Elephas maximus indicus: one gene and its partner. The protein of the gene in region 2 binds, or shares a complex with, the protein of the main gene of each other region. Links are inferred from orthologs where the notes say so. Each region holds a gene or a part of one and is shown on either strand. Other genes may lie near its edges. The genes, in order: RAB29 and LRRK2.

Region 1 (11,943 bases), on a different chromosome or scaffold from region 2:
CACTCAGGCTGTCCAAGTTCAAATCCCTGTTCTGCCACTTACTATCTATGTGACTCTGGGCAAGGTAAGCTCTCAGTGCTTCGTTATCTCTCACCTGTAAAATAGGGGTAAAGGCAGTAGCTGTTATCATGGAATTGTCGTGAGGATTTGTGGGCCAGTGAGTCTAAAATGCTCAGGAGTATGCTTGCACGTACTAAGAGTTGTTGCTGTTGTTGTTACGTGCTGTTGAGTCAGTTCCAATCCATGGCAACCCTATGTACAACAGAATGAAACACTGCCCGGTCCTGTGCCATCCTCACAGTTGTTCTTACGTATAGGCCCATTGTTGCAGCCACTGCATTAATCCATTTTGTTGAGGGTCTTCCTCTTTTTCACTGACCCTCTACTTTATCAAGCATGATGTCCTTCTCCAGGGACTGGTCCCTCCTGATAATGTGTCCAAAGTATATGAGATGTAGTCTCGCCATCCTTGCTTCTGAGGAGCATTCTGGCTGTACTTCTTCCAAGACAAACTACTACTTCTTATTATTATCTCTATTTTCTAGGGATCTTTTTTCTCATCAAGGTCAGCTGAGAACCCAGAAAAAGTGCCCTGCCCCTGCTGTGGAAGTGTCTACCTATGGTCTGGACAACCTACCACCTTACCATTCCCTTTAGTCACACAAACACTGCTCTACATCTGTTTAGGGCAAAACTTTAAGTTTCTGTATCCTCAGAGCAACTTAACCATTCCACCTTCAGAAAGAAGTTTGGGTTTTGGCTGTCCCCCTTTTTCTCTGACAGACTGCTAGCTGAACTGAACTTTCTTCCCTTGTTCCTATCCAGCCTGCCCAGCTCACCTGCAATATCCCACAGCTGGAGCCGTACCATCTCCGAGTCAGACCACTGAAGAACCTTCAGAGCAAAATCCACTGAAAGTATAATGGATATCATACGTTAATGAAATTTAACCTTTGAAAAACACCCAGACCAAATCTGCAGTTACAACTCTAGGGGCACACAGCTCCCAAACCCATTTTATTTTTAATTTTTACAAATATTTTATTGTGTTTTCAGTAAAGGTTTACACAGCCGTTTAAGTTCCTATTCAAAAACCTCTACGCGAGTTGTTCAGTGACACTGGCTGCACCCTTCACAATGTGTGAACACACTCATTATTTCCGTTCTGGTTGTCCCATTTTCATCTCCCTGCCCCCTCATATTGCCGTCTTTGTTTCACAGTAACTGTTGACTGTTTGGTATCGTACAGGTGATTTTTTAAAGGAGCACAGTACTTACAAGTGATAATCCTTATTTTTTAGAGCTAAATAAGGTGGCCTCAGGGGCTAGTCTACATCCAAGGTCTGAAGAGTATCTCAGGGCAATAGTTTTGGGGATTACTCATTTATTTTTAAGCCCTTAACAGACTGAGCCGAGCCCACCCTCGTGTACTAGGTATGAGACAGATAATTCATACTTCCTCTCCGAAGGAGTCTCCAGCTGTTACTCTGCTGCCAAAACAATTTATTTGACACTATTTGTCTCAAAGGCTGGGGACAGGAAGGTGACAGTCATTATGAAAACAACTCCTAATCTCGGGTTAAACAGTCTCTGGGAGATTTGGGGGTTTTCTCAGGGAAGGGATGATGGGGTGGGAGGAGAAACGAGGTAAGTGTGGTCGCTCTTGCATCTTCCACATTCCATTTCACTGTTGGTTTCTAATTCAAGTGCAGGGGGAGAAAAATACGCCCTGGGGGATTCTATATCCTCCATAAGGCGATAGAAATTATCCCAGGCCGGAACAGGATTAAAGTGAAAAAGTCCCAGAGGATTCCCAGGAAATGAACACTGCATGGATAGCGCTTAAGAGCTACGCTGGAATCTACCGCCACATCTGTTCAGGATTCCATTAGATGTGCTGAGACTCCGTGAGTTAAGGCTGAACAAGCATTCCAAGGAGAAAAGCTTTTTGATAACAGAGAAATAGGATAATTTTTGAGGTCTGGAAATACATTCTTCCACATCTGTGACAGAAATAAGAGCTGGGGGACATTTATAATAAACGCCGCCCCCCGGCCCCCCCCCTAAAAAATTTGCTAGAGTCAGAGTGAAAACTGTCAGCACCAGAACTCGATGGGAATGCCTTGTTTTTCCGAGTCTCGGAAGTCTTCCTTCTGCCTTTGACAAGGCACAGTTCTACCACACTGGAAAATATTTGTTTTCCTTCCGGCAGGTTTCCGTCTTACACAAGTCCTGGCTTTGCAGATTTTTTACTGTATACTCTTTACGAAAGGAAAACCAGAGCAATTGCTAAAAGTTAATTAGCAAGACATTTTTAACTCAAATCCCATGAAATACTGTTGTTGTTAGCGGCTTTGACTCATGGCGACCCCATGTGTGCAGAGCAGAACTATGCTCCACAGGGTTTTCAAGGCTGTGACCTGTCAGAAGCATATTGCCAGGCCTGTCTCGGAGGCACCTCTGGATGGCTCTGAACTGCCAACCTTTCAGCTAGTAGTTGAGCACACAGCATCACCCAAAACACCAAAACCAAACCCGCTGCTGTCGAGTCGATTCCGACTCACAGCAACCCTAAAGGACAGAATGGAACTGCCCCATAGGGTTTCCAAGGAGTGGCTGGAGGATCTGAACTGCCAACTCTTTGGTTAGTAGCTGCAGCCCTTAACCACTATGCCACCAGGTTTTCCTTATGTCACCCAGGGACTCCATAATCCATTAAATTAAAAGGAAAACAAAACAAAACAAAACCCGTTGCTGTTGATTCAATTCCAACTCATAGTGACCCTATAGGACAGAGTAGAACCCCCCATAAGGTTTCCAAGGAGCAGCTGGTGGATTCAAACTGCCAACCCTTTGGTTAGCAGATGAGCTCTTAACCACTGTGCCACCAAGGCTCCAATCCATCCATGAAATAGGGACCCTCATATTATTTAGAAGTAGGGGGAAGAGGCAAAGTGGTTAGGAAACAATCTTCGAAACTTTAAACCCTTAATTTTGCTGATGGTCTTACAGGGGAAAGAGAATGCTTTAATTGCAATGTAAATGTTTGATATTTTAAAAAATTCTGTATGAACACCAGTACCCATTTTCAAAATTCAGACTAATGCAAGTTTTTACAAGGCGCCCTCGTGGCGCAGTGGTTAACCAAAAGGTCGGCGGTTTGAACCCACCAGCCTCTCTGAGGAAGAAAAGAGCTGGCGATCTGCTCCCATAAAGATTACAGCATTGGAAACTCTATGGGGCTCCCTGTCCTATGGGGTCGCTCTCGCTATGAGTCGTCCAAATTGACTTCACGGCAATGGGTTACAAGTGTTTTCCTTTAAAAAAGTTCTTTTAACAGAGACAAATAAATGTTTAAATTACTTCTTCCCTTTACTAGTTCTTCTCAGCTAAGAACCAAAAAAACTAAACCCACTGCCATGGAGTCAATTCCGACTCATAGCAACCCTACAGGACAGAGTAGAACTGCCCCATAGAGTTTCCTGGGAGCACCTGGTGGATTAGAACTGCTGACCTTTTGGTTAGCAGCCGTAGCACTTAACCACTACATCACCAGGGTTTCCTCTCAGCTAAACACGCTCTAGTTAACGAAAAGGGAACCACAAGGCATCTCTATCTCTGAAAAAAACAGCTCAGTTGAGTCCAAAATCCACACCTGAGAGAGAAATGAGTTAAGTCTTGGTGTCCCCTGTCCTCCTCCCCTTCCCGCTTTGAGGGAAAGAGGGGTAGGAAGATCGGTCAGAAAAGTGGTATATTTCACATTTTTCAAAGAATTCCTAGGTTGCCTTTAAGCAATCAGTGGACAATACACAGCTCATCAGCCCTGATAAGCACCTGATTCTGTGGCCAAGGCCCCACAGAGGATCTGCCGTCCCCACCCTGCCCAGGCACTCCCATAACAAAGCTAGGGTCCTTCAGACCAGCTCAACGTCCTAGGTCCTCCCCTCGAGGCCAGGTGAAACATCCTTCTGTTCCTCCCTCCACAACGCACAGTCGCAGCTGGCACCTACCGAGCCATACAGAGGGTCTCAGCTGCCCCTGCCCCTCGCTAAGATTTGCCTGTGACAGCTTCGAAGGCTGCAAGAAACTTGAGTTCACAGTTCGCTCGCGAAACGCAGAAACTGCTTTCTCTCACCCTCCCTTCTCCATTTCTTATCTTCACACCTCCGCCCTATCTCTTTCCAGGCAGCTGGCTCTGTCGGGGAAAACCTAAGTGGGGCAGCCCAAGGGGGCATGCAAATCAAACCTCCAGTAATCGCTCCCCTCAGGATCCCGAACACGCACTTCCTGACCTGAGAAGGACCCACGGACACGAGCTCCCTCCCCTCCACCCCACTTGGGCCCACAGCTCGAGTCCTTAGTCGGGCCTCTGTCCAGCCGCCCCCCTGTCCCCAGCGAGGTCTCACCTCCCACCGTGGACTTGTAGTGTTTGCTGAAGCTGTCCTGGGAGTATCTCTGGACCAGCGACGTCTTGCCCACTGCGGCGTCCCCCACCACCAGCACTTTGAACAGGTGGTCGCGGCTGCCCATGGCGGGCTAGCGGGGTGTGCGTTTTAGGGAGGTGGGAAGCGTTTTAACCCCTCTAGCTCCGGACTCCCTACACACTCAGGTCAGGCATTCCCACCCACCGCCTCTGGGGCGGCTCTGACGAAAAAGCAAAAAAAGGAAACTTTGCACTCCACCTCTACGCGCTTCCTCCCCCGCGGCCGCAGCCTGGGTGGGGCGTAGGGCTCGGCTCCAAGCCCCCCGGCTGTTGGAACTTTCTGCCCCTCCCGGCCCGGCTGCCGAGAAACGGGACGGAGCACCTCGCTGCCTCACCCACCCGCACTTCCCGCGGGCGGCTCCAGTGGGCGACTGAAGCCGGGTCAGCTTATTTCAAGGTTAGGGCCAGAAGATGGGGATCCTGCCCCCACTGCACAAACCAAATTCGGAGATAAGAGTACTCCACACCTCACTCCTGGACCCTGGCTGGCCTTGGTGGCGCGGTCCCCTCGCCTCCCTCCGCATGCGTCACGTGCAGATTGCGAGAAGCACTACATTTCCCATGTCACTTCGCGGTGAAGAGAACTAGCCGAGTGTGGAGGCTCGCCGCAAGGCCTCCTGGGAAAAGTAGTTTATGAACTATTTTTATTAAAAAAGCCTACGCGAAGTTTCAAGACTTTCACAACCCCCATAATTCGTCACTAGTTTGGGATCTTATATTAAAATAATTCTGGGTTCTTCCAGGTGATTTGTTCAACATGATCTCACCTTCCTAAATCCCTCTACAGATAAATTAGATTCCTCGTATCTTTAAAGGTTCTATGGAGCTCTGTGGAAACCCTGGTGGCATAGTGGTTAAGAGCTTGGCTGTTAACCAAAAGGTTGGCAATTTGAATCCACCAAGCGCTCCTTGGAAACTCTATGGGGCAGTTCTGCGCTGTCCTATAGGGTCACTATGAGTCGGAATCGACTTGAAGGCACTGGGTTTTTGTTCCCGAGTTGACGGCATTGGGTATGACCCAGTATCAGGCAAGTTCAGGGAAACTTGACCCAAGAGACCGGCCCTTAGAAAATCCCATGCCAAAAGTTACAACATTTAATAACTAGCCACAGCAATGAAGATAGAAAACAAGAGATAGTTCCTCATTCTCACTCTCACAGCCCCTATTCTAGTCCATATTCTAGACAAAACATGTATCATTTGAGCTGGAAGCTAATTGGATCAGCCTTGCTCTATTTATTTGTTGCTGCTGTTGGCCATATCATCATTAAACTCGTTTTGCAAGTAATTTAAAATTTTCATCCTGTAACCTTTCCGACCTGCCTGTTTTTTAGGCAGGCGGTAAGGGGACAAGATGTATGTTTGGCAAGCAAGGTGAGCTTCATTTTCTATGCTTTTCACAGGAATAGAAGTGGGAGCAGTAGGGCTGTGGGGAAATAGCCCAGAGGGCTGACTTCGTGAAATCCTGCCCACATCTATTGGTAGAAATACTATCACTTAGCTTTCTGCCAGGAAAGAATATCAGCATGGTTCACAATTTATTTAGCTCAAATTGTTTGTTACCCTAGCTAGGGGAGGTCAGACATCTTTAACAATGTCTCAGATCCCTTTCTAATGGCCCTTCTCAATTCCTATTTGCTTTGACATAGTTCAAATGGCTTAAAATCTATTTCCACTTGACTTCTGTGACGTTGTTCTTTCATAGTCATCCTACCTCTTTTTCTTTTATGTTTCTCTCCATCCCGTCTCCCCCTAAGTATTTCCTAAGGCTTGGTTCTTGATCCCTGTTATGGATTGAATTGTGTCCCCCCAAAATATCTATCAACTTGGCTAGGCCATGATTCTCAGTATTGTGCGATTGTCCACCATTTTGTCATCTGATGTGATTTTCATGTGTTGTAAATCCTATCTCTATAAAGTTAATGAGATGAGATTAACGGCAGTTATGTTGATGAGACTCAATCTACAAGACTGGATTATGTTTTAAGCCAATCTCTTTTAAAATGTAAAAGAGAGAAGCAAGCAAAGAGACCCAGGGGGACCTCATACCACCAAGAAAGTAGTGCCAGGAGAAGAGCACATCCTTTGGACCTGAGGTTCCTGCACTGAGAAGCTCCCAGTCCAGGGGAAGATTGATGGTAAGGAACTTCCTTCAGAGCCGAGAGAGAGAGAAGGCCTTCGCCTGGAGCTGGCACCCTGAATTTGGACTTTTAGCCTCCTAGACTGTGAAAGAATAAATTTCTCTTTATTAAAACCATCTGCTTATGGTATTTCTGTTATAGCAACCCTAGATAACAAGACAATCCCTGAGCTGATTGTTCTATAAACTCTTCCCTTTGGTGAATTGCCCTTGGTTTCAAATATCTCTCTGTTTTTACCTCTAATTCATTACATCCAACTTCCGAAAAGTAACCTCCACTTGGATGTTCCACCACAGCTCAGCTTCCCTCTCATTACTTCTTGGACTGAACTCATCACTTGGCCAAATAACGGCTCCTTTTCTCACTTTCCCTATTTCGGTCACTGGCCTTGTCATTTCTTCCCTTTGCTGAGGCTTCAGACCATGAGCATTATTAATATTTCCTTTTACAGATGTCCATTTACAGCCCTCCCCCCCCACTGCTTTTTAAAATTTTTATTGTGGTAAAATATATATAACAAAAAGTTTGCCATTTTAACCCTTTTTAAGTATATAATTCAGTGATACTACATTCACCATGTTGTGCTACCGCCACCAGTTCCAAAAGTTTTACATCACCCTGAACAGAAACTCAGTACCCCTTTAGCAGTAACTCCCATTTCCTCCTCCTCCTAACTCCTGTTGTTGCTGTTAGGCGCCATCGAGTCAGTTCTGACTTACAGTGACACTACATACAACAGAAGGAAACACTGCCTGGTACTGTACCACCCTCATGATTGTCGTTTATGCTTGAAGCCATTGCTACAGCCACTGTGCCAATCCATCTCATTGAGGGTCTTCCTCTTTTTTGCTGACTCTCTATTTTATCAAGTGTGATGCCGTTCTCCAGGGACTGATCCCTCCTGATAACATGTCCAGAGTACATAAGACAAATCCTTGCCATCCTCGCTTTCAAGGGGCACCCTGGCTGTATTTCTTCCACAACAGATTTGTTCATTCTTCTGGCAGTTCATGGTATATTCATTGCCCAGCTTTCACATGAATCTGAAAAAAAAAAAAACAAAAAAAAAACCATTGTTGTAGAGTTGATTCTGACTCAAAACGACCCTATAGGGCAGAGTAGAACTGCACCATAGGGTTTCCAAGGAATGCATGGTGGATTTGAACTTCTGACCTTTTGATTAGCAGCCAAGCTCTTAACCACTACACCACCAGGGTTTCCACATGCATATGAGGCGATTGAAAACACCATGGCTTGGGTCAGGTGCACCTTAGTCCTTAAAGTGAAATCTTTGCTTTTTAACACTTCAAAGAGGTCTTTTGCAGCAAATTTGCCCAATGCAATGCATCATTTATTTCTAACCTAACCCCTGATAACTATTAACAAGCATTTGTCTCTATGCATGTGCCTATTCTAGACATTCCATATAAGTGGAATCATACAATATTTGTCATTTTGTGTCTGACCTGCTTCACTCAGTATAATGTTTTTAAGGTTCATCTATGTCATGGCATGTATCAGAACTTCATTTCTCTTTATGGCTGAGTAATATTCCATTGTATGTGTGTCACATTTTGCTTATCCATTCATCTGTTGTTGGACATTTGGGCTGTTTCCACCTTTTGGCAACTGTGAATAATGCTGCTATGAACATTGGGATACAAGTATCTATTTAAGTCCCTGTTTTCAAATCTTTTGGGTATATACCTAGGAGTAGAATCGTTAGTAGGTAATTCTATGCTTAACATTTTGAGGAACGACCGAACTGTTTTCCCCAGTGGCTGCACCATTTTACATTTCCACCAGCAACGCATGAGGGCACTCCACATTCTTGCCAACACTTTTTAGTTTTTCTAATAATAACCATCCAAGTGAGTGTGACGTGGTATCTCACCGTGGTTTTGATATGCATTTCCCTAATGACTAATGACATTGAGCATCTTTTTGTGTGTTGCTCGGCCATTTGTACATCTTCTTTAGAGAAATGTCTATTTAAGTCCTTTGCCCATTTTTCAACTGGGGTTGTCTTTTTGTTGTTGAATTGCAGAAGTTCTTTATATATTCTGGATAGTAAATTCTTATCTTATCAGATATATAGTTCCCAAATATTTCATAGATTGTGTCTTCACTTTCTTGGTAAAGTCCTTTGATACACAAAAATTTTTCATTCTGATGAACTCCAATTTATTTTTTCCCTCATTGATCATGCTTTTGGTGTCATACTTAAGAATTCACTTTCAAAAACGAAGTCTTTAAGTTTTACCCCGATGTTTTTGACTAAGGTTTTGTGATCTTAGTTTTTATATTTAGCTCATTGATCCATTTAGAGTTAATTTTCGTATATGATGTGAGGTATGGGTCCAACTTCATTTCTTTGCATGTGGACATCTAGCTGTTCCTGTACCATTTACTAAAAAGACTATTCTTTTCCTATTGAATGGATTTGGCATCCTTGTCAGAAATCAATTGGCCATAGATGTATGGGTTTATTTCTGAGCTTTTGATTCTATTCCATTAGTCTAAATGCCTGTCCTTCAACCAGTGCCAGACTGTTTTGATTACTGTAGCTTTATAGTACGTTTTGAAATTATAAGTGTGAGTCCTCTAACTTTGCTCTTCTTTTTCAAGATTGTTTTGGCTGTCCAGGGTCCTTTGCAATTCCATATGGATTTGAGGATTGGCTTTTCCATTTCATTAAAAAAAGGCTGCTGGGATTTTTTTTATTGTACTTTAGATGAAAGTTTACAGAGCGAATTAGTTTCTCATTGAACAATTAACACACACATTGTTTTGTGACGTTGGTTGCCAACCCCACAGCATGTCAACACTCTCCCCTTCTTGAACCTGGGTTCTCTGTTACCAGCTTTCCTGTTCCCTTTTGCCTTCTTGTCTTTGCCCCTAGGCTGGTGTGCCCATGTAGTAGGCTCTCTGAATTTTTATACAAATTGCATTAAATTGTAGATTGCTTTGGGTAATTTTTTTTTTTTTTTGGTTGGGTAATACTGGCATCTTAACAATATTAAGTCTTCCAAAACATGAACATGGGATGTCTTTCCACTTATTTAAGTCTTATTTAATTTCTTTCAGCAACATTTTACAGTATTCAGTGTATGAGTCTTACACTTCACTGGCTAAATTATTCTTAGGTATTTTATTTTCTTAGATGATATTGTAAATGGGCATGTTTTCTTGATTTCCTCTTCAGATCGTTCATTGTTGGTGTATAGAAACACAACTGATTTTTGTGTGCCCATTTCCCTTCTAAAAAGTCAGGCATCATGTGTGTTCTGATTCCTCCTTCCAGAATGTTTCCTCCATCCACCCTCTCTGCTCCATATGTAGTGTACTTTCCCAGCTCAGGCTTTCCGCATCTCACACCTGTATTACTTCGATAACCTGTTCAGTGGTCTTACTGACTTCAGTTTCTCTTCCGTTCAATTCATCCTACACAACTGGCCAGGATGATTCTCCTAAAATGTTATTATTGTTCCTTCATGCCTACCAAAAAACCTTCTAAAAACTGGTCAACCTCCCTGAGCTGGTGTCCAGGCTTTCATGCTGGCCCCACGCTACCTAACCAACTTCATTCCATCTCAACGGACCTGAAATGGGAATTTCTTCCCTCCAACAAGGTGGGGTTTCTTACACTTTTTATTTTTTATTGTCATAAAATATTTGCCATTTCAACATTCTTCACACGTGCAAGTTAGTGACATTAATAGTATTTACCATGTTGTGTGACCGTCACTATTATCTATTTCCAACTTTTTCCATCACTCTTAACAGAAGCTCAGTGGCTCTTAAGTGTCTCTTATCCCCCTCCCCCAACCCGCCCTCCTTATATTCTTGAAAAGCCATCTCATTTTTTATGTTTATCTTTGCCCAGGGTCCTTCACCCATCAGAATACCCTTCAGACTTCTTTCACTTTCAAATGCTTACCACACTGTAAGTTCTTAAACTTTAGTGCGCATAAAAATCACACAGGGCACTTGTTCAATAGGGACATTCTGATTCTGTAGGGCTGAGGTAGGACCCAGGAGTATCTGTGTTTTTGGCAAATACCTGGGTGAATCCTAGGCCAGATTCCACTTTGAGAAATGCTGCGTTAAGGCCTGATTTTAAGTATCACCTCATTTATGAATATTTCCTTTATTATTGCAGCCCGTATCGGTCACCTAAGCATTTATAATCTGCTCAGCTTTTGGTCACTTAACTATACAACCAGTTTACAATTATTTGACTTATAAACAACCAGTGCATTACACAGGAAGTGGGGACTTCAAACACAACATTTTGGTTTCGACCCCGGTTGTCAGTGTGGGAACTACCCGTAGTTTCCCAAATCAGAAAATGTGGGGAGTGAAGGTTTAAAAAGGAAGATGAGCAAATTACTGACGCTCCCCCAAGTCACAGGACTAGTGGTTCCTTTGGTGGAATGGGGGGGGGCAGGAGGAATATTTCTTTGATACTAAGTTGCAATTCTGATTGCAGTTTCCCAGAGAGACAGTTATAAATAAGAGAGAAAGAAAAACATTCAGAGTGTCAAGCAACTGATTTGCATAGACATGTTGGGAGCACAGTCTTTTGGAAGCTGGGGTAAGTGGTCAGCCTTGCTCTGTTTCTGTCTGCCTTTCTCTTTCTACTGTTTACTTTCCACTTTTGATTTTGAAAAATTTCAACTCTGTAGAGAGGTTAAAAGAAGAGTACAGTGAATACCAGTATGTCCTTCAGCTGGATTCACAAATCCCTAGCATTTTGCCAAGGAGCCCCGGTGGTGCAAATGGTTAAACGCTTGGCTGCTAACCAAAAGGTCAGCAGTTTGAACCCACCCAGTGGCTCTGCGGGAGAAAGCACTGGCCATCTGCTTCTGTAAAGATTATAGCCAAGAGAGCCCTATGGGGTAGTTCTACTCTGTTACATGGGGTCACTATGACTCGAAAACGAGTCAATGGCACCCAACACCAACGTGAAATGGAGGCTGAAGTGATGGAGCAAATGGTCCAGCAGCAGGGAGGGAGGGTCAGAGCCAGGGAACGGGGAGGCCATGGTGCCACAGCTATCCATCAGCCCCAAGCCCCAGACTCATTCCAAAAGTCACGGTGTTTCGGTGATTGCTCGGAGGAGGGGAAGGCATTTCGGTGAGATACCTGTGACTCAGCTAAGCGTTCGGCTGGAAATCTCTGCAGCAAGGTCCCCAAGGACACCCTCTAGAGAAAGAGGCTGATGGGTTTGAACAGCAATCTGCCAGTCATTCCTCTGCTGGCTTGTGCCCAAGAGTCTAGGGCTAATTGTAAACCTGGGAGCACCTAGGGAAAACC
Region 2 (12,023 bases):
ACTTCCTATCAGAACCTTAGGGATACAGCAAAAGCAGCGCTCAGAGTGAATTTATAATAAATGCACACATCCAAAAAGAAGAAAGGGCCAAAATCAAAGAATTATCCCTACAACTTGAACAAATAGAAAGAGAACAACAAAAGAAACCCTCAGGCACTGGAAGAAAACAAATAATCAAAATTAGAGCAGAACTAAATGGAATAGAAAACAGAAAAACAATTGAAAGAATTTACAAGACCAAAAGCTGTTTCTCTGAAAAAATCAACAAAATTGATAAACCACTGGCCAAACAGACAAAAGAAAAACAGGAGAGGAAGCAAATGACCCGAATAAGAAATGAGATGGCTGATATTATAACAGACCCAACTGAAATTAAAAGAATCATATCAGATTACTATGAAAAATTGTACTTTAACAAATTTGAAAACCTAGAAGAAATGGATGAATTCCTAGAAACACACTACCTACCTAAACTAACACAAACAGAGGTAGAACAACTAAATAGACCCATAACAAAAGAAGAAATTGAAAGGGTAATAAAAAAAAAAAAAACAACAACAAAAAAGCCCTAGCCAGGAGGTCTTCACTGCAGAGTTCTACCAAACTTTCAGGGAAGAGTTAACTCCACTACTGCTAAAAGTATTTCAGAGCATTGAAAATGACGGAATACTCCCAAACTCATTCTATGAAGCCACCATATCCCTGATACCAAAACCAGGTAAAGAAAATTACAGACCTATATCCATCATGAATTTAGATGCAAAAATCCTCAATAAAATTCTAGCCAATAGAATTCAAGAACATATAAGAAAAATAATTCACCATGACCAAGTGGGATTCATACCAGGCATGCAGGGATGGTTCAACATTAGAAAAACAATTAATGTAATCCATTTTTATCATATAAATAAAAGACAAGAATCACATGATTTTATCAACTGATGCAGAAAAGGCATTTGACAAAGTTCAACACACATTCATGACAAAAACTCTCAGCAAAATAGGAATAGAAGGAAAATTCCTCAGCATAATAAAGGGTATTTATACAAAGCCAATAGCCAACATCAACATCATCCTAAATGGAGAGATTCTGACAGCATTCCCCTAGAGATCGGGAACCAGACAAGGATGCTCTTTATCACCACTCTTACTCAACGTTGGTCTGGAGGTCCTGGCCAGAGCAGTTAGGCTAGATAAAGAAATAAAGGGCATCCACATTGACAAGGAAGAAGTAAAAATATCTCTATTTGCTGATGACATGATCTTATACACAGAAACACTAAGGCATCCTCAAGAAAACTACTGAAACTAATAGAAGAGTTCAGCAAAGTATTGGGATACAAGATAAACATACAAAAATCAGCTGGATTCCCCTACACCAACAAAAAGAACATCAAAGAGGTAATCACCACATCAATACCATTTACAGTAGCCCCCAAGAAGATAAAATACTTAGGAATAAATCTTACCAGAGATGTAAAAGACTTGTACAAAGAAAACTACAAAACATTTCTGCAAGAAACCAAAAGAGACTTACATAAGTGGGAAAACACACCTTGCTCCTGGATAGGAAGATTTAACATTATAAAAATGTCTATTCTACCAAAATCGATCTATACATTTAATACAATTCCGATCCAAATTCCAATGATATTCTTTAATGAGATGGAGAAACAAATTACCAACTTCATATGGAAGGAAAAGAGGCCCCAGATAAGTAAAGTATTACTGAAAAAGGAGAACAAGGTGGGTGGTCTTACTCTACCTGATTTTAGAACCTGTTATACCACCACAGTATTCAAAGCAGCCTGGCACTGGTACAACAACAGATACATAGACCAGTGGAACAGAATTGATAACCCACACATAAATCCACCCACATATGAGCAGTTGATATTTCACAAAAGCCCCAAAAGTATTAAATGGGGAAAAGACAGTCTTTTTTAACAAATGGTTCTGGCATAACTGTATATCCATCTGCAAAAAAATGAAACAAGACCTATACCTCACACCATGCACAAAAACAAGCTCAAAATGGATCAAAGAAACTAAATATAAAATCTAAAGTGATAAAGATCATGGAAGAAAAAATAGGGAAAATGTTAGGAGCCCCAATATGTGGCATAAACAGTATACAAAACATTATAAAGAATGCAGAAGAAAAGCTAGATAACTGGGAGCGCCTAAAAATCAAACACCTATGCTCATCCAAAGACTTCATCAAAATAGTAAAAAGATTACCTATGATTGGGAAAAAATTTTTAGCTATGACATTTCTGATCAGCGCCTGATCTCTAAAATCTACGTGATACTGCAAAAACTCAACTACAAAAAGACAAATAACCCAATTAAAAAATGGGCAAAATGTATGAACAGACCTCATTAAAGAAGACATTCAGGTAGCTAACAGATACATGAGGAAATGCTCACGATCATTAGCCTTTAAAAACCAAAAAAAAACAAACCCAGTGCCATTGAGTTGATTCCAACTCATAGCGACCCTATAGGACAGAGTAGAGCTGCCCCATAGGGTTTCCAAGGAGCGCCTGGTGGATTCAAACTGCTGACCCTTTGGTTAGCAGCCGTAGCGCTTAACCACTATGCCACCAGGGTTTTCCGCTCCAACAAGGCTGGCGTTAATCCAAAAAACACAAAATAATAAATGTCAGAGAGGCTATGGAGAGATTGGAACACTTATACAGCACTGGTGGGAATGTAAAATGGTACAACCACTTTGGAAATAGAATTGGTGCTTCCTTAAAGAGCTAGAAATAGAACTACCATACGATCTGGCAATCCCACTCCTTGGAATATATCCTAGAGAAATAAGAACCTTTGCACGATCAGATACATGCACACCCATGTTTATTGCAACACTGTTTACAATAGCAAAAAGATGGAAGCAACCAAGGTGTCCATCGACAGATAAATGGATAAATAAATTATGGTATATTCACACAATGGAATACTATGCATCAATAAAGAACAGTGATGAATCTGTGAAACATTTCATAACATGGAGGAACCTGGAAGGCATTATGCTGAGTGTGAAATTAGTCAGTTGCAAAAGGACAACAATTGTATAAGACCACTATTATAAGAGCTCGAGAAATAGTTTAAACAGAGAAGAAAATATTCTTTGATGGTTACAAGAGGGGGGAGGGAGAGAGGGTGGGAGAAGGGTATTCACTAATTAGATAGTAGATAAGAACTACTTTAGGCGACAGGAAAGACAACACACAATACAGGCGAGGATAGCATAAGTGGACTAAACCGAAAGCAAAGAAGTTTCCTGAATAAACTGAATGCTTTGAAGTCTAGTGTAGCAGGGGCAGGGGTTTGGGGACCATGGTTTCAGGGGATATCTAAGTCAATTGGCGTAATAAAATCTATTAAGAAAACATGCTGCATCCCACTTTGGAGAGTGGCGTCTGAGGTCTTAAACGCTAGAAAGCAGCTATCTAAGATGCATCAATGGGTCTCAACCCACCTGAATCAAAGGAGAATGAAGAACATCAAGGATACAAGGTAATTACGAGCTCAAGAGACAGAAAGGTCCATATAAACCAGAGACTACATCAGCCTGAGACCAGAAGAACTAGATGGTGCCTGGCTACAACAGACAACTGCCTGACAGGGAACACAACAGAGAGCCCCTGAGGGAGCAGAAGAGCAGTGGGATGCAAACCCCAAATTCTCATAAGACTAGACTTAATGGTCTGACTGAGACTAGAAGGACCCCAGTGGTCATGGCCCCCACCCCTTCTGTTGGCCCAGGACAGGAACCATTCCTGAAGCCAACTCTTCAGACATGGATTGGACTGCCCAATGGTTTGGAGAGGGATGCTAGTGGGGAGTGATCTTCTTGGATTAGGTGGACACTTGAGACTATGTTAGCATCTCCTGCCTGAAGGGGTGATGAGAGGGTAGAGAGGGTTAGAAGCTGGCGAAAGGGACTCGTAAAGAGAGAGTGGAGGGAGGGAGTGGGCTGTCTCATTAGGGGGAGAACAATTGGGAGTATGTAGCACTGGGTTCTTTGTAGCAAGGTGTATGTAAGTTTTTGTGTGAGAGACTGACTTGATTTGTAAACTTTCACTTAATGCACAATAAAGATTAAAAAAAGAAAATATCATAGCTTGGGTCAGGTACACCTTAGTCCTCAAAGTGACATCTTTGCTTTTCAGCACTTTAAAGAGGTCTTTTGCAGTAGATTTGTCCAATGCAGTACATCATTTGGTTTCTCGACTGCTGCTTCCATGGGTGTTGATTGTGATCCAAGTAAACTGAAATCCTTGACAGCTTCAGTCTTTTCTCCGTTTATCACCATGTTGCTTATTATTCTAGTTGTGAGCATTTTTGTTTTCTTTATATTGAGGTGTAACCCATACTGAAGGCTATAGCCTTTGATCTTCATCAGTAAGTGCTTCAAGTCTGCTTAGTGTTTCAGCAAGCAAGGTTGTGTCATCTGCATATCTCAGGTTCTTAATAAGTCTTCCACCTATCTTGATGCCATATTCTTCTTCACAGAGTCCAGTTACTCTAATATAGTATAGAAAATAGATGGAATAATGAATATTGATTGAGGAAAAGAAAAGGAATCTTTTATACTTAGATTGACTTTCTCTTAGAAGGCAGTTAGGTTTCAATCTCTTGCAAGATAATAAACCAGTAGTTTGGGAAGGGAGACATAAAAGGGAGACTTCCTAGAAATATGAGTTATTGAGTAGGTAGTCAAAAGATGACATAAGAAACCAGTTAGGAAGGCATATACAGCAGGTATGATAACAACTACAAGTATGAGAGTTGTGTGTGTTTTAAGTTTTATATGGAAACTTTTATATCTTATAAAAAGTAGAGAATAGTAAAATAAACCCCATGAAGCTATCTCCAACAATTATCAATTCAAAAGTTGGTGTTTTTGCATCACTACCTCCACCCATTTCATCCCTTCCCCCATCACTGGGTTACTTTGAAGCAAATCCTCATCATTATATTATTTTAACTGTAAATAGATAAGCGTGTGTCTTTAAAAGATAATTGGTATTAATAAATGGTACATATAGAAACTTGAATTGCTGTGTCTTTAGCTGTATATATTCTCAACAACAATAACAAAATAAAATTTGGGGGGAAAAATGTACAACAACGGCAAAACATTCACAATACCAAGGTTGAATTTAAACTTGTTTTATTAACCTAATGTTTGAAGTAAAGCTAGGTCATTTTGATTAAAATGGCAGAATGTAAAGAAAAAGAGCACTCAATTTGGTGTTAGACATTCTACCTGGATTTAAGTTCCAGCTCTCAACTTCCCATTGTTTGACCCAGGAAAATCTCTTCATTTAACATCTCAAATCTCAATTTTCCATTAGTAAAAGAAGAAGAAATTGTAGCTGCCTTGTGCATTTCAGAATTATCATTAGACTGAGGTAACAGATGTGAAAGGAATCTAAAAACTGAGAAGTTCTAACTTCCAGTTCAATCCTCTCCTGTGTAAATAGCCCTTACCTTGTGGTTTGCCTTGGCCTGAAGACAGTATCATTTTTGTCTACAGTGTAGAAGTGCCTTGTCTACAGTGTTTCTAACTGGTTTCCCTTCCTGAAAAACACATTACTTTGGTCCATTTTTAAAAACTTTTGATTATAGACACCCATTTTCATTAGTAATTCTTAATAGTAAGAGAGCAATATTTTTTGGCTTGTTTGTTTCACCTTTTCTGCTGGTCATTTCATTTACCCTGTCTTTCTCTTCAGTTTTAATAGTACAGAGAATTGATTACTTTTGGCATGTCCACTATCAGGAATCTTCCTAGTGCAAACACAAAATTTCAAGGTATTTTTAGTGGCCTTTTGGAGCCCTGGCAGCGCAGTGGTTACGAGTTTGGCTGCTAACCAAAATGTCAGCAGTTGGAACCCACCATCCGCTCCTTGGAAACCCTATGGGGCGGTTCTACTGTGTCCTATAGGGTCGCTATGACTCAGAATGGATTTCAAGGCAATGGGTTTGGTGTTTTTTTTTTTTTTTTGGTTTGGCAACCAGATTTTCAAATAACAGAAAAAGCACCTTTTATCTCCACGCACAACAATCACAAAAAAAGAATTTAGCTAGGCAAATTTTGACTGCTAACATCTCCATCCTTGCGGAGAAATTAATGCATCTCCCTGTAGGTGGAACCCTAAAGAGAATGTTGCCCTAAAAGGGGCCGACTGGGCGGTGTCCTCTTTTCCCAAAGCCCTGATTTCTATTCTCAGATCTGGAAATAGGCGGCTTTCATTTTCCTCTTCTGAGATCCCACTTTCCGTGGGCCCAAAGGAGCCCGGGTTGGCCGGTCTGGGACCGTAACCTGCCGGCTGCAGGCTGTAAGCCTCCTCCCCACCGCTGCAGGACTCCGGGTCTGGGGCACTTGGCGGACTCCGCTGAGTCAGTTTCTTCCTGCGCGACTCCCTTGCTGCACTGCCTCGGCGAGTGGGATCAGATCGGGCCAAGGAGGCGGCGCCCGCCCGGGGGTTCCCAGCGCAGTGGGCTCCGGGGCCACAGTCGTCTGGCCGGCCCCCCCTGGAGCCCCGCCTCGGCAGCCGTGCCACGGTTCAGCTTTCTACCAGCCTCTCGCAGGCCACCGAGCTCATTTTTGGGGCCTGGGCGGCGGAGGAGGAAGGCTCGAGGAGAGGGAGGGGAGCGCAGGGCGTGGAGACGCCGCCTTTCTCATAAACAGGCCGGAGCGGGTGCCCATGGGGCGTACGGGCTGCCAGCAGTGAGCTGTACTTGCCCGGAACAGTGGCCTAAGCCCCAGCCCCTTGTCTGAGCAGCGGGCCTCCTTGCCCGGAGGGGCAGCGGATACACAGCAGGGGCCATCATGGCCAGTGGCAGCTGTCAGGGGTGCGAGGAGGAGGACGAGGAAACTCTGAAGAAGTTAATAGTCAGGCTGAACAATGTCCAGGAAGGAAAACAGATTGAGACGCTGGTCCAAATCCTGGAGGATATTTTGGTGTTGACGTACGCCGACCACGGTAATCACTAGGGAATGATTCCCTCCACCCTCACCCCTTTTTGCAAACTTTCTCCCTTGCCCTTTGGAGCTGCTCAGTCCAGGACTCCTGAGAAGCCTCAAACTCCCTACTCCTTTCCTTAAAGCGGAAAGGAGCTGAGAATTCCAGGAAGATCTTGAGCTCACCTCGTATTTGCTTCCCCCCCTTTTTGGGACATTAAAGGGCTGCTGTGAATTGTGACTGACTTTGCTTCTTTCCCCTCACCCCCTTCTTTTCCAGCCTCCAAGTTATTTCAAGGCAAAAATATCCACGTGCCTCTGTTGATCGTCCTGGACTCCTACATAAGAGTCGCGGGTGTGCAGCAGGTAAGGAGCTGCTTTCATTCTGCCCTTTCGCCCTTTCTTTTTGGAAAGCGATGTTTTTCTGTCAAAGTTATATACCTGGAGTTCCTGGTTATTTCTGAGATTTGGCTTGATGAACCTCTGACAGTGATTTTAAGATGAGAGTATTGTCAAATCTTTATCTAATGTTAACTGTGTAAAAGTGCTTGCCCGGAGTTCCAAGAATGTCATTAAAAGGTAACTTAATAAAACTGACTGGCAGAACGTGGTTGGGGGCTGGGGAGAATAGTAATGGGTTGAGGTACTCTGTTACTGGCTAGATGAGTTTCAGGGTGTTTAGACTGAATTATTCTTAGGATTTTCCCAGTGCAGAGCTATGTCCTAGATTTGACACCATTGCCAATAGTTTGGGAAAGGGGAATAATTAACAGTAATAAAACACAATTAAGTAACTGGCAAATTCTCATAGGTTTCAGAGATTTTTAAAAAAATTTTAGTTTGAAGACAGTGAAGTACCTAGCCTTTTTAAAGTTTGCCTTGTGTCTAATGAAAGTGATGTTTTAGGATTCCCCTATATGTTTATTTTTTGTGTTCCCATGTAAACTGAATATAAAACTGAAATTTTTAGAATCGGTGTCATAGGAAACTCAAAAAATCGAGTTAGTATATCTTAGGTATATTAAAAAGTGAAACCTAAGATGGTAAGTAAGAATGATTTACGGTAAAAACAAATTTCTGACTAAGGTGATAACTTCCTTTTGAGATTTGGGGAACTGAAATGAGCTTTGTCATCTGTAAAGTCCTGATGGAAAATAAAATTAAACTTTGAATTCTGTGGAGGTGTAGACAGAAAGCCAGTATTTCTTCCTGTCTAATTGAGATGCCACACAGGGGTAAGAATTCTCTCTCTCTGTCATTGTGTTTATGTATCTTTGTCTCTATCTCTATATCAGCTATGTCTGATACTAAGTATCTAACTTCTTTTATATAAGCACATTCATATCTGGGATAAATGGTTTCTTTTATTTTTCTTCAACTATGAAATGTTTTCCATCTGACTATTGATTTCCTGGCTACTATTAAACAAAACCAAGAAAAGCTAGAGGCATGATAAGGATGCTTGCTCTTTTTAGCACTCGAGGTCTGAATTTGCCCATGGAACATGAATCACATTTTAGGCACTGGTCCACCGTGTTTGCTGCTCTCCACCCACCTACCCCCATTTCCCTCGCCTCCATGTTCATGTGACTGGTTCTGGCAGCCTCCATTCCTGGACTCTGCCTGGCAGAGTCACCTTGCTCAGTACCACTCAGGACAATGGGATCCTAGGTGGGCTTTGGTCTACAGAGTCCAGAGCAAGCCATGATAGGCTTGAGACCCCAAGGGAACCTGAACATACTTCCCATCTGATTCTTCTTCACTTTAGAAACTGCCCAAACCTGAGTCACACTATTCTGTAGTAGCTATGAGTATCACTCAATATTCTGGCCCAGTAGGTACTAGAGACAAAATATGGAGGGAAGTAAGGAATTGTCTTCTGATTTGATAATTTAATGGAATAGAATTATTAATTATAGCACCATCTAAGCCTGCAAAGGGCATTGTATATATTATATCATTTGATACCATTGCCTGTTCAGAAATCTCACTGGATAATTTCCTCTCATAAAAGCTCAGCAAGAGGAAATGGCTTATTTGGGATCACCCAGCTAGTAGCAGAGCCAAGACTTTAACTCAAGTCTTCTCGTAACTTTGAAGCCTCTTCCGTCATACTGTCCACGGCTTCTGAATATCACAGACTTTTCATGTAAGCAAGTACAAAAGCACAATGTTTTGGTACAACCACTGTGGCCATACTAGGCACAGAAACATTGTAATTTTTGATTCACATCACTCTTATCAAAGGGATGTAGAAACAGGTCTCTCTACTGACATTTTGATACTGCACTTAAAGGGAAGAACTTTTTTTTTTTATAAATTTCTTCTCATTGGCTAGTGTAATTATTATTTTTTATGTTGAATTGTTTAGAAGTGCTAAATTAAAAGCTCTTAATGATGAACCACCATTCATCTGTCAGTTCGTTGTACTGTGGTGGCTTGCATGTTGCTGTAATGCCGGACACTGTACCACTGGTATTTCAAATACTAGCGATGTCACCCATGGTGGACAAGTGTCAGAGGAGCTTCCAGACTGAGAAAGACTAGGAAGAAGAATCTGGCGATCTACTCCTAAAAAAAAAACTAAAAAAAAAAAAAAAAAACAGCTAGTGAAAACATTACGTATATACTATCACTATGAGTCAGAAGTTCAATGATGAACTAAAGGCGTTATGGTAAATGCGCTTTAAAAAAAAAAAAAGACTTTCAGAAGTCATTTATCATGATACTCCAGACTCTGAATTTGTATTTTTGAGGCCTTTTCATGTTTTATTAATGCAATTTAATAAATGACAATCTTTAGAGAATTGACAGGCTAGCTGCCTTGTAATTTTCTTTTCCTGGCAGCCATCTGATCATTTTAACTTATTGTCTGTGCTTCTCAATTTTATGTTTTCTTTATCCACACAGTTTCAAGTTTTAGAGAAGGGGAGCAAAATAAATGAAAATGACTAAAGTTATCTTTAATGCTAAAATCTTTCCCAGTGTATACTAATTAGATGCTTGAATTTACAGAATAATTATAATAAAGTGAAACTACCAATTCAATTGTATTGTAACTGTGTAGGATGGAAACCTCTTTTTGAAAGATAAGCTCTTAATTGAAGACTAATGGATCAATTATTACCTCTGCTTTGCTGCCAGAGATTGTTTAATCGTAGAAGCTCCACATAGTGACTGAAAGCTCAGTTGTCTGAACCTTTTTGCAAAGCAATTACTGATGCTGCTGCTTCACGAAACAAAAACAAAAACAGATTTTCTCCCTAAGTCAGCCATGCAGGTTGAGATGAGTTTAGCATCCAGTGTGATTTTTGTCCCCAGAAGCTGTTTAGAATGTCATTTTTCTTAAACTCTTGGGGAAAAAAAAATCTCAGTGTATTTTATGAAAGCACCAGAATAGTCAGTTTCTATGACAGCTGGATTGCCAATGCCTGTTCAGCTTAACTGAAGGAGGATGTCTTAGTTAAATATAAGGTAAAAATAGGTGTCAGATGTTGACTTTTCAAGCAATTTGAAATTATTTAAAAGGAAACCGTGACAAAGTAAAGCAATTCATGCACGATATGGAAAAGATGCAGAAATAATATTCTGTTGAGATCTCACGTAATCTTTTTTTATCTTGGTAAAATGTCCCTTGCTTACTTTTTGTTTACTCCCATAAGCAAGTAAAGAACTTATAGGGCTCTAGGTGCCACTATTCCTTATTGAATGCACATAAATTCTTCCTCTTGTCATTCAGCTCTCTGTGTCCCTCCAACACCACTTATGCATTCAGTCTTGTCTGGCAATAGTCCTCCCACGCCACCACCCGTAGCAGTCCTTGAAAATTTAATACCTCACTCTGCTCCTAGTTATCAATTTTGTTGTTAGGTGTTGTTGAGTTGGTTCTGACTCAGCAACCCCGTGGACAACAGAATGAAACGTTGCCTCGTCTTGTACCATCCTCAGAATCGTTGCTATGTTTGAGCCCATTGTTGCAGCCACTGTGTCAATCCATCTCGTTGAGGGTCTTCTTCTTTTTCACTGACCCTCTAACTCACCAAGCATGATGTCCTTCTTCAGGGACTGGTCGCTCCTGATAATATGTCCAAAGTACATGGGATGAAGTCTCGCCATCCTCACTTCTAAGGAACATTCTGGCTGTTCTTCTAGGACAGATTTGTTCATTCTTCTGGCAACCCATGGTATATTTAATATTCTTCACCTGTACCATAATTCAAATGCATCACTTCTTCTTCAGTCTTCCTTATTCATTGTCCAGCTTGCACATGCTTATGAAGGCAAATGAAAATCAATTTTAGTAGGTTCAATTTCTATACTTTCTAAGACCAAATTTGTAATTTAAATTTATAATTCTTTTGAAATTTGACTCAAATCTACTTCTTCCATATTAAATCGTTCTCTGAGTAATTCTAGCTCACAATGAATACCATTTTCAGGATTTATATCGTGTTGGTACTTATTGTGCATCTCACACTTAGACACATCTTCATTAATTTCTAGATACTATATATATGCATTTTCTGTTTTTATTTGTTCCTGGCCATATCAAGTACAGTTCTATAAGGTAATAGAAAGAATTGAAGATTCTTTAAATTTAGAGAAGAATATACAGTAGACGGAGTGGGTTAACATTTATCTCCATTTCCCCTCCCCCCTGTTGGTGGAGACCAACTCATTCAAATTGCCATCAAATGTAAATGGACCAAAAATATAAAAAAAAAGGCATTAATAAGATCATTATTTTTTTGAGAATGTAAAAGAGACAAGGGACGTTTGTAATCAACTCTAGACCTCATCAGCTCATATTTATATGTTCTAAAGAAATCTAAAGGGGGCCACTGAGGGATTCCACCTCCTGTCTATATTGTAGTCCATTAATCATTGGACTTAAGACTTTGGTGTTTCAGTGGTAGAAATCTCACCTTCCATGCAGGAGACCCAGATCTGATTCTTGGCAAATATACTTCATGAGCAGCCACTACCAGTTTGTCAGTGGAGGCTTGGGTGTTGCTATGACGCTGATGCTGAGCAGGTT

Evidence for each region.
Region 1: the proteins of LRRK2 (region 2) and RAB29 are in contact, whole or in part, in a cryo-EM structure (PDB 8FO2), measured with the Homo sapiens proteins. The link is inferred for Elephas maximus indicus from reciprocal best matches to the Homo sapiens genes LRRK2 and RAB29. Residues at the interface, in NP_940980.4 of Homo sapiens: Arg361, Lys362, Arg399, Met402, Leu403, Leu406, Met407, His408, Leu437, Ser438, Lys439, Gly440, His442, Leu443, Asn444, Glu447; in NP_001129134.1 of Homo sapiens: Leu7, Val42, Asp43, Phe44, Ala45, Leu46, Arg58, Gln60, Trp62, Leu76, Tyr77.

The regions. Positions count from the first base shown.
Region 1 is NC_064836.1:15,348,885-15,360,827, forward strand, and holds the start of RAB29 (ras-related protein Rab-7L1), read right to left. Parts: upstream 5,035-11,943; 5' UTR 4,951-5,034; exon of another isoform or gene 4,923-4,950; intron 4,645-4,922; 5' UTR 4,531-4,644; coding exon 4,407-4,530; intron 912-4,406; coding exon 840-911; intron 1-839. UniProt on the Homo sapiens protein: The small GTPases Rab are key regulators in vesicle trafficking. Essential for maintaining the integrity of the endosome-trans-Golgi network structure.
Region 2 is NC_064822.1:94,615,030-94,627,052, forward strand, and holds the start of LRRK2 (leucine-rich repeat serine/threonine-protein kinase 2), read left to right. Parts: upstream 1-6,244; 5' UTR 6,245-6,853; coding exon 6,854-7,007; intron 7,008-7,264; exon of another isoform or gene 7,265-7,265; coding exon 7,266-7,351; intron 7,352-11,047; exon of another isoform or gene 11,048-11,166; coding exon of another isoform or gene 11,167-11,169; intron 11,170-12,023. UniProt on the Homo sapiens protein: Serine/threonine-protein kinase which phosphorylates a broad range of proteins involved in multiple processes such as neuronal plasticity, innate immunity, autophagy, and vesicle trafficking.